2 linked regions of the Bombyx mori genome follow. The protein of the gene in region 1 purifies or fractionates together with the protein of each later gene. This does not show direct contact. Links are inferred from orthologs where the notes say so. Each region holds a gene or a part of one and is shown on either strand. Other genes may lie near its edges. The genes, in order: pre-mRNA-splicing factor syf1 homolog and RNA helicase aquarius.

Region 1 (4,533 bases):
AAACACTCGAAGAACTAGAGCTTCTAGATGAAGACGTACTGGACACGACTTTTTTTTTATCTTTTCGCATGTCTTTGTTTGAATCCATTTTCATCTGTAATTCTAGTTCACGCTGCAACTGCTGTCTTCGTTTTTCGAGGACATCTGTGTCTGCATACTCTAAGTCATTTTGGTCCCAGTTATCGATTTCTCCTTCGGGGCTTTGACCTGACCGCACTATAACAGTAGAATGCAATCTAGTCTTCCCATCATCCTTCACTAAACGTTTCTGATCATTGTCTTTATGAGCTGCGCGTTGTTTAGAAGGACTGATAAGAGTATGCGTAGAAGCAAATTTACAACTTTTGCCGTAAGCACAGCTGCCGTGTTGGGCCCACTGTCTACAATGTTCAGTTGTTTTTTTAGCACTTGATGATTTCTTAGTACCGAGCCGATCAAACACACTAGGTCTAATAGAGAGATCTTTCGTTTTCGGCAATTCAACAGATATTTTTCTTTTTCCTTGTTTTGACATTATAGTAGAAATACATTTGTATCACATTAAACTAAAAAAAAAGAACTAAAAAATAATCTTCTCTAACCGGCACGGTGAAGTCAAGTAAATTAAAGGTTTTATATTTTTTACAAAAAGGAATTGTACAAACATTTATTTATGGTCTATTATCTATGACAAACGCTATTATTTGGAGCGATTTTTTTCTACTAGTTTCTCTTAGTAGGCAAGCGGAATGTAGTTCTCGTTACATAAATTAATATTTACTTAAATCTTTGTTTAACAACACGTTTGCATGCAGTACGGCAATGGATGGCCATAATTCCTAACATAGCTTACAAGTTACAATCAGCTTACATCTCAAACTCAAATAATAAGCGTATTATCTATGATAGCTTACAAGGCCCAAGGCAAAAGCAGAAGCGCTTTTACACGTGGAGTAGATAGGTAGGGCTCACTAAATTTGGCCCCTCGTTTTTTGATTTTTGGATTTTTTTTATTTTTAATTATTTGTTCGTCGTTTGTTCGTTAATTTTCGAATGTAAAAATTGTTTGTTCGTCTTTTAATTATTTATAATTAATTAAACAAATGATCTCCCTTAAGTTGGGCCCCCCCTTACTAGATATCTTTATTTTCATCGCTCAGATTAATTAATTTTGATCAGTTACATTATTAAGCCGCACAAACTAATACTTAAATTAGTTATCTCACAAGTGTGTATAATCTATAGATACTTAAAATTTATGGTATAATCGGATCTATTCCGTTCTTTAATCTATAATCGGATTTTTGGCAGGAACGCGAGGAGTGAAATTGTGTGATTTGTTTTATTTTGTTTACTTAGTGTTTCTTCAAGTTTAAATGTGTAATAACGGTGGTTTATTAACTGTTTAATATCTGTGAAAGTGCACAAAAGTGGGAAAATGAAACAAAGCCACTGGACGTAACTTTTCGGGATTCTCCAAAAAGTCCACTGAATCAAAATTCTCAGTAAATGACCACCATTTTACTTAGATTATATTTCATCTCACATCATCTCATCTCATTTCATTTCACTCCATATTATGATTTTTCATAAAAATTAAAATATAAATTAAAATAAAACATGACCTAAAGGTCTTAGTTACCAGGTCATAAAATCTCTTAAAAAAATAAGGTACAATCTATGATATTGTGTGTCATAGATTAAACACTGAAGTGTGTTCCATAGATTATACACATAATATATTTGAGTGTGTTCTAAAGAAATAGAATTAAGCTAATTATTCAATTACTCAACTGTTTGAATTGAATTTATAGTACCTACGGTACATATTCGAAAGCTTTAGAATGCCTCTTCTAGACGGAAAAGAAATCGACATATTCTTCGTAAGTTCAAAAATATTTTTATAATTTACAATGCTTAGTGTGCATACATATTTACTTTTGCCGACATATGAAAATACAATCAACAAATATTTTTTTCAACCCAAATTCAATTAACAAAGAAACCTTAATATATCAACTGCTTTAAAAAATCTAACCAAAGCTTTTGTGGTTTTCTGGTACGTTGATATCAAACATTATTATCATATTAATTCAAATAAAATTGTTATTGTTACAGAGTGAAGAAGATCTTCCGTATGAAGAGGAAATCCTAAGAAATCCATTTTCTGTCAAACATTGGCTTAGGTACATTGAACACAAGAAAACTGCACCCAAACATGAAATTAATATGATATATGAACGAGCTTTAAAAGAATTACCAGGATCTTTTAAACTTTGGTATAACTATCTTAAATTAAGAAGAAAACAAATAAGAGGTCGCTGTATAGCTGACCCATGCTATGAAGATGTAAACAATTGCTTTGAAAGGTCTTTAGTATTTATGCACAAAATGCCTAGAATATGGATGGATTACTGTTCATTCTTAACAGATCAGTATAAAATAACTACAACAAGGAAAGCGTTTGACAGTGCTCTTAGAGCTTTACCAATAACTCAACATCATAGGATATGGCCTCTTTACTTAAATTTCTTGAAGAAACACAATATACCCGAAACAGCTGTAAGAGTGTTTCGTAGGTATCTTAAATTATGTCCTGAAGATACTGAAGAGTATATTGACTACTTAACTTCAATAGATAAATTAGATGAAGCTGCAGTCAAATTGGCTCAACTAGTTAATAATGAGAATTTTCAATCAAAACATGGAAAGTCAAATCATCAACTTTGGAATGAATTATGTGAATTGATATCAAAGAATCCTGATCAAATTCATTCTCTGAATGTCGACGCTATTATCAGAGGGGGATTAAGACGTTACACTGATCAGCTAGGCCACCTGTGGAACTCTCTTGCAGACTATTATGTTCGAAGTGGTCTTTTTGAAAGAGCCAGAGACATTTATGAAGAAGCTATACAAACTGTGACTACAGTGAGGGATTTTACACAAATATTTGATGCTTATGCACAATTTGAGGAATTAAGTCTTAGTAAAAAAATGGAAGAAGTTGCCAAGAAAACTAATCCAAGTGAAGATGATGATATTGATTTAGAATTGAGACTTGCCAGATTTGAGTATCTTATGGAAAGAAGGCTGTTACTGCTTAATTCAGTTCTACTTAGACAAAATCCACATAATGTGGCTGAATGGCATAAAAGAGTCAAATTATATGAAGGTAAACCCCATGAAATAATAGATACATATACTGAAGCAGTGCAAACTGTAGACCCTAAATTAGCTGTTGGTAAACTTTTCACACTGTGGGTTGGATTTGCAAAATTTTATGAAAACAATGACCAAATTGAAGATGCCAGATTAATTTTTGAAAAAGCTACACAGGTAGCATATGTTAAAGTAGACGATTTAGCTTCAGTTTGGTGTGAATGGGCTGAAATGGAAATCAGACATGAAAATTATGAGCAAGCCCTAAAATTAATGCAAAGAGCCACTGTTTTACCAAGCAGAAAAGTAGCATATCATGATGATTCTGAAACTGTGCAAATGAGGTTGTATAAATCACTAAAGGTTTGGTCCATGTATGCTGACTTAGAAGAGAGTTTTGGTACATTCAAATCTTGCAAAGCTGTGTATGATCATATTATAGATTTAAAAATTGCTACTCCACAAATTATTATCAATTATGGATTATTTTTAGAAGAGCATAATTACTTTGAAGAAGCTTTTAGAGCATATGAAAAGGGTATTGCCTTATTCAAGTGGCCTAATGTGTATGATATTTGGAATACATATCTAACAAAATTTTTAAAAAGATATGGTGGTTCAAAACTTGAAAGAGCAAGAGATTTATTTGAGCAATGTCTTGAGCATTGTCCCAATGAATTTGCAAAGTCTATTTTCTTATTATATGCAAAATTGGAAGAAGAGCATGGTTTAGCTAGACATGCAATGTCTGTATATGAGAGAGCTACTACTGCCGTTCTACCTGAAGAAATGTTTGAAATGTTCAATATTTATATTAAAAAAGCTGCTGAAATTTATGGAGTTCCTAAAACACGACAGATTTATGAAAAGGCTATTGAGACTCTTCCTGAAGAGAAGGCTAGGGAAATGTGTGTTCGCTTCTCAGAAATGGAAACTCGCCTAGGTGAAATTGATAGAGCTCGGGCAATATATGCACACTGTAGTCAAATGTGTGATCCTAGAATTACAGCTGATTTTTGGAACACTTGGAAAGAATTTGAAGTTAGGCATGGTAATGAAGATACAATGAGAGAAATGTTAAGAATTAAAAGAAGTGTGCAAGCCACATATAATACACAGGTGAATATGATGTCTGCACAAATGTTGAGTTCTGCAGCACAGGCAGCTGGTACTATATCAGATTTAGCACCAGGTATGAAAGATGGAATGAGAATGCTTGAAGCCAAAGCAGCTGAAATGGCAGTACAGAGTAAAGGCAACATTCTATTTGTGAGAGGAGAAACCCAAGGACTTAAAGAGAGTTCTGACAAAGTAGTGAATCCTGATGAAATATCAATTGATGAAGAATCCGATCACAGTGATGATGATGCTGAAGAGGATCCAATCCAAAAG
Region 2 (3,831 bases), on another chromosome or scaffold:
GGTAACCGTCAGACCTACACAAGGCATAGGTAAGGTAACTTTAAGAACCATTAAGTTTGCGAATACAATAAATTCGTCTGCAATTTATTTAGTTCATTTTTGTCAAGATTTTATCGTATACTAGCTTTTGCCCGCGACTCCGTCCGCGTGGAATAGTTACTTTGGCATAACGCTAAATTCTACCCCCACTTCATTTACGTAGAAAGTGAAAATATTTTTGAATTATAGAATGTTAAGGAGCTATTTAAACCCCTATTTTGAAACATTATTTATTGGTGCGCCACTTGTCTTGCCGTGATGTTATATAGCCTAGCCTTCCTCAATAAATGAGTTATCTATTACTGAAATAGTTTTTCAAATCGGACCAGTAGTTTCTGAGATTAGCGCGTTCAAACAAACAAACTCTTCAGCTTTAGAATATTATAGTATAGATGATTTTGAGAAAATATCGTGTTCTGATAGACTGCTTACGTTACTTTTAAATTTGTTTTTTATGCTGTTGTGATATAATTGTATTTATGTTGTCTATTTGTGCCAAGAAATGCTCTCCGAAATATTTAGACGACTATCACGGCGCCCCGACGTTTGGGTTTCCCCAATTTCTATGATGTGGTGTCGGGACTCACCGACTTAGAACGGAATCAAGGTCTTTCCCATAATAAATTCGAGGCATCTGTTTTTGAAATTCAAGTGCGCTTCTGTTTTTTACGTCCCGACCATCGACATTCCTAGAATCGATCCGATTCGTTGTAAGAAATAAAATTTAAATTATCTCACTGAGTAATACACGTGAAATAAAACGTGAAGCACATACGAGGAAATTGTTGCTCCAATTGCTCAAAAACTCTCAGAGATTCGTCATAGATAGTAAGGATAAGTGATGCGTACGCATAATGACTATGCCGTTCACCAAGCAATGGAGCTGTCTGAAAAAGGCAAGGGGACATTGCGGAACAATATATCCCGACCTCTGAATGAGGTCCGACTTGACAGCATGACAACACAGGATAGAAATTCCCAGTGTAGACGAATTAGAAGACCCAACCCCACCTAAAGTAGGACAAGGAAAGGAAGAAGAAGAAAGAATAAAACACGTTTTTTTCTGTTTGCGTATTATTCGTCCGATTGATTTGAAATTACATCAGTCGTTGATATCATATTGTTATAAGATAGTTCTCTCTACTATATAGACATATTCAGCTTCAGATTTGAAAATTCTTATAGGTACAAAGTATGACTACAGAAAGAGTATGGTGGATCAGGCGGGGATAGTGTACGTGAGGGGTTGCGAAGTTGAAGGTATGCTGGACGCATCCGGCAGAGTCATTGAGGACGGGCCGGAACCGCGGCCGGAGTTAGAGGGAGATTCCAGGACCTTCAGGCTCTTACTCGATCCTAACCAATACAGACTTGACTTGGACAGAGCTAGTAAAGGGAATGAGGTAACTATAACAATTATTGTTCAGGACTCTATTTTGGGTTTTGTACCAAACTCCTGTTCGCATCTACTGGGACCCAATCGTGGGGACCTTCTAGAAGAGACGGATGATCGCAAGTAAATAGTGGTCGTAGCCTAAAAGATAAGGCGCCTAGTGTACTCGTATCGAGCGATGCGATAATACCGGTGTTCAAATCCCGCATGTAGGTACTAATTTTTCTAACGAAATACGCACTTACTACATGTTCGCTAATGAATACAAGATGAAAGAATAACGGGGCTAATAAAATGAAATCAATTAAAAAAATGCACGATAATGTTGTGGCGTTTTTTTTTTATACTCTAGTGACCCCGAGGGGTCATACTAGATTTGCCGAATGACTAGGTGAACTCACATGGATCTGACCTGTTGTTGGGGCGTATTGTCGCATGGTAACACCGTCTAGTCTATTTCCGCCACAAAGCCGCCGTGAATTGAGGACATGAGTGGATGAAGGGGATATGATATAATTTGATAATTTTGCGAAAACGGGCATCAAATTTTTGTTAGGTACTTGTACTTTTTATTCGAACATAACTCCTTCATAACATGCAATTTCTAAAAAAAGCGTCTAAACCCGGAGTTTTAAGTTCTAATATGGTTTATAGACACATAACGCCTTCATTCAATGTAAAAACTCAAAATTCTTAAAAATGGTACTTAACCCCTTCATCCACTCAAGTCTTCAATTATAATTGAGACTTCACTCATCGTGGATGTCATTATTCAAAGCGTGATGTATTTGGTTACTGGTAACCGTTTAAATTCCAATAAATAATTGATTTAAAGTAATATGAAAGCTTTTACGTGAATCTGGTAACGTCTACATATATCTAACAGGAACAGCACTGTCTTTTTGAATGAAAGGCGTCCTTTTTATGTACCCCTGACAACGTACGTGTATGTGCTTAGTGATGCGCGATTTATTGGTTAAGGCGCGAAAGCGTCACCGATTTATTAAACCGATATAATAAATCGGTGACGTTATTTTAAAACGATTATCGCAGGACGTGTACGAGACTTTCAATATAGTTATGCGTCGTAAACCGAAAGAGAACAACTTCAAGGCCGTATTGGAAACGATACGAGAATTAATGAACACCGAATGCGTTGTACCGGACTGGCTTCACGATATAGTCTTGGGCTACGGAGATCCCGGTCAAGCTCATTACACGAGGTTCGTATATATTTTTTTTATATATGATTGAAAGATTACTGGTGGCCCGGAGGCCTTTCCAGTTTCACCAGGTGAGGTGGCCGAGCAAAGGCTCAGCCAGGAGGGGTGGGATTTGCTAACAACTGCCCGAGCGCCTCCGAAGGAGACCTAACAACTCAAGAGCAATAGCTTCGCGAATGAATCTACTACACGATCGGAATCGTATCTCTATTATCTTGGTAGTATCATGGTCATGGGAAGCGTGAGTCTGCGAATCAAACTGAAGATGGATTGAAAAAAAAAACACGTCTAAAATTCACGCGCCATAGAAGCGAAACCTTCCGAAGTGTTTCTATCTCATTCTCTCGCATGCTAAATCGTATAGATATATGTTTGTCTCTTTTCAGTGTCGCTTTTCCGTTTCATTGAGTTTTAAATTGTTAGGTTTATAAATAGTTTTATTTGTACCAAAGGAGTGATAACAATTGCTTTATGCGTTGAGGAGAGTGTTGTTTCGTTAAACGCTCTGTAAGATAGTTCCGACTAGTTATTGACTCGATGACGTCAGAATATTACCGTCTACTTTTATACCCAAGGTCTTTTTGGCCACACGAGCATCCTCTTACTGCATATATTCCCCTTACAACGATAACTTTCCACTCTTTACTTATCTACTATATTATATAAACTTATCTTAAAATGTCTTCATATTGAGACATTGATACCTACATTTCTTTGACACTGTGAAATGGATTTAACAGTGTCCAAGAAATTGACATTCGCACTGTTTGTTAAAAACTAAAAGTAAAAATCTTAAAATAGAATTCGTCATGATGCGTCAGAATTTATCTTGTTGAATTCCCAGAAAACCACGCGATCTGATGAAGCGTATGTACGTCAATTAGATACAATTACTTTTATCGTGTATTGAGTGTAGGTAATATATGTACATATGCGTCGTTTAATATGTATGTAATTTCATATTATATTAATGTAGATGAGAAGAAAATCTTACGATCTATTAGCATTCAATGAGTGCTCACAACCTATAGGCATCTTATAGGCATCACAAGATGCCGCCATCCGCCTTGAGACATGAGGTCGAAGACTCAATCGCATAACTGCTTCGTGGCAGAAAAGACCTGAATTTTGGTACCTAACCGTGCAGGCTTTCAAATACGCCTTATCAGTATACAT

What was found.
Region 2: the proteins of pre-mRNA-splicing factor syf1 homolog (region 1) and RNA helicase aquarius fractionate together in Homo sapiens (co-fractionation; 3 studies listed by BioGRID and IntAct, with this or other methods). This does not show direct contact. The link is inferred for Bombyx mori from reciprocal best matches to the Homo sapiens genes XAB2 and AQR.

Annotation. Positions count from the first base shown.
Region 1 is NC_085110.1:13,376,779-13,381,311, reverse strand, and holds the start of pre-mRNA-splicing factor syf1 homolog, read left to right. Parts: upstream 1-1,483; 5' UTR 1,484-1,823; coding exon 1,824-1,862; intron 1,863-2,097; coding exon 2,098-4,533. Other genes in the region: zinc finger CCCH domain-containing protein 13, read right to left, coding at 1-514. UniProt on the Homo sapiens protein: Involved in pre-mRNA splicing as component of the spliceosome. Involved in transcription-coupled repair (TCR), transcription and pre-mRNA splicing.
Region 2 is NC_085131.1:6,792,615-6,796,445, reverse strand, and holds part of RNA helicase aquarius, read left to right. Parts: coding exon 1-29; intron 30-1,224; coding exon 1,225-1,442; intron 1,443-2,485; coding exon 2,486-2,655; intron 2,656-3,831.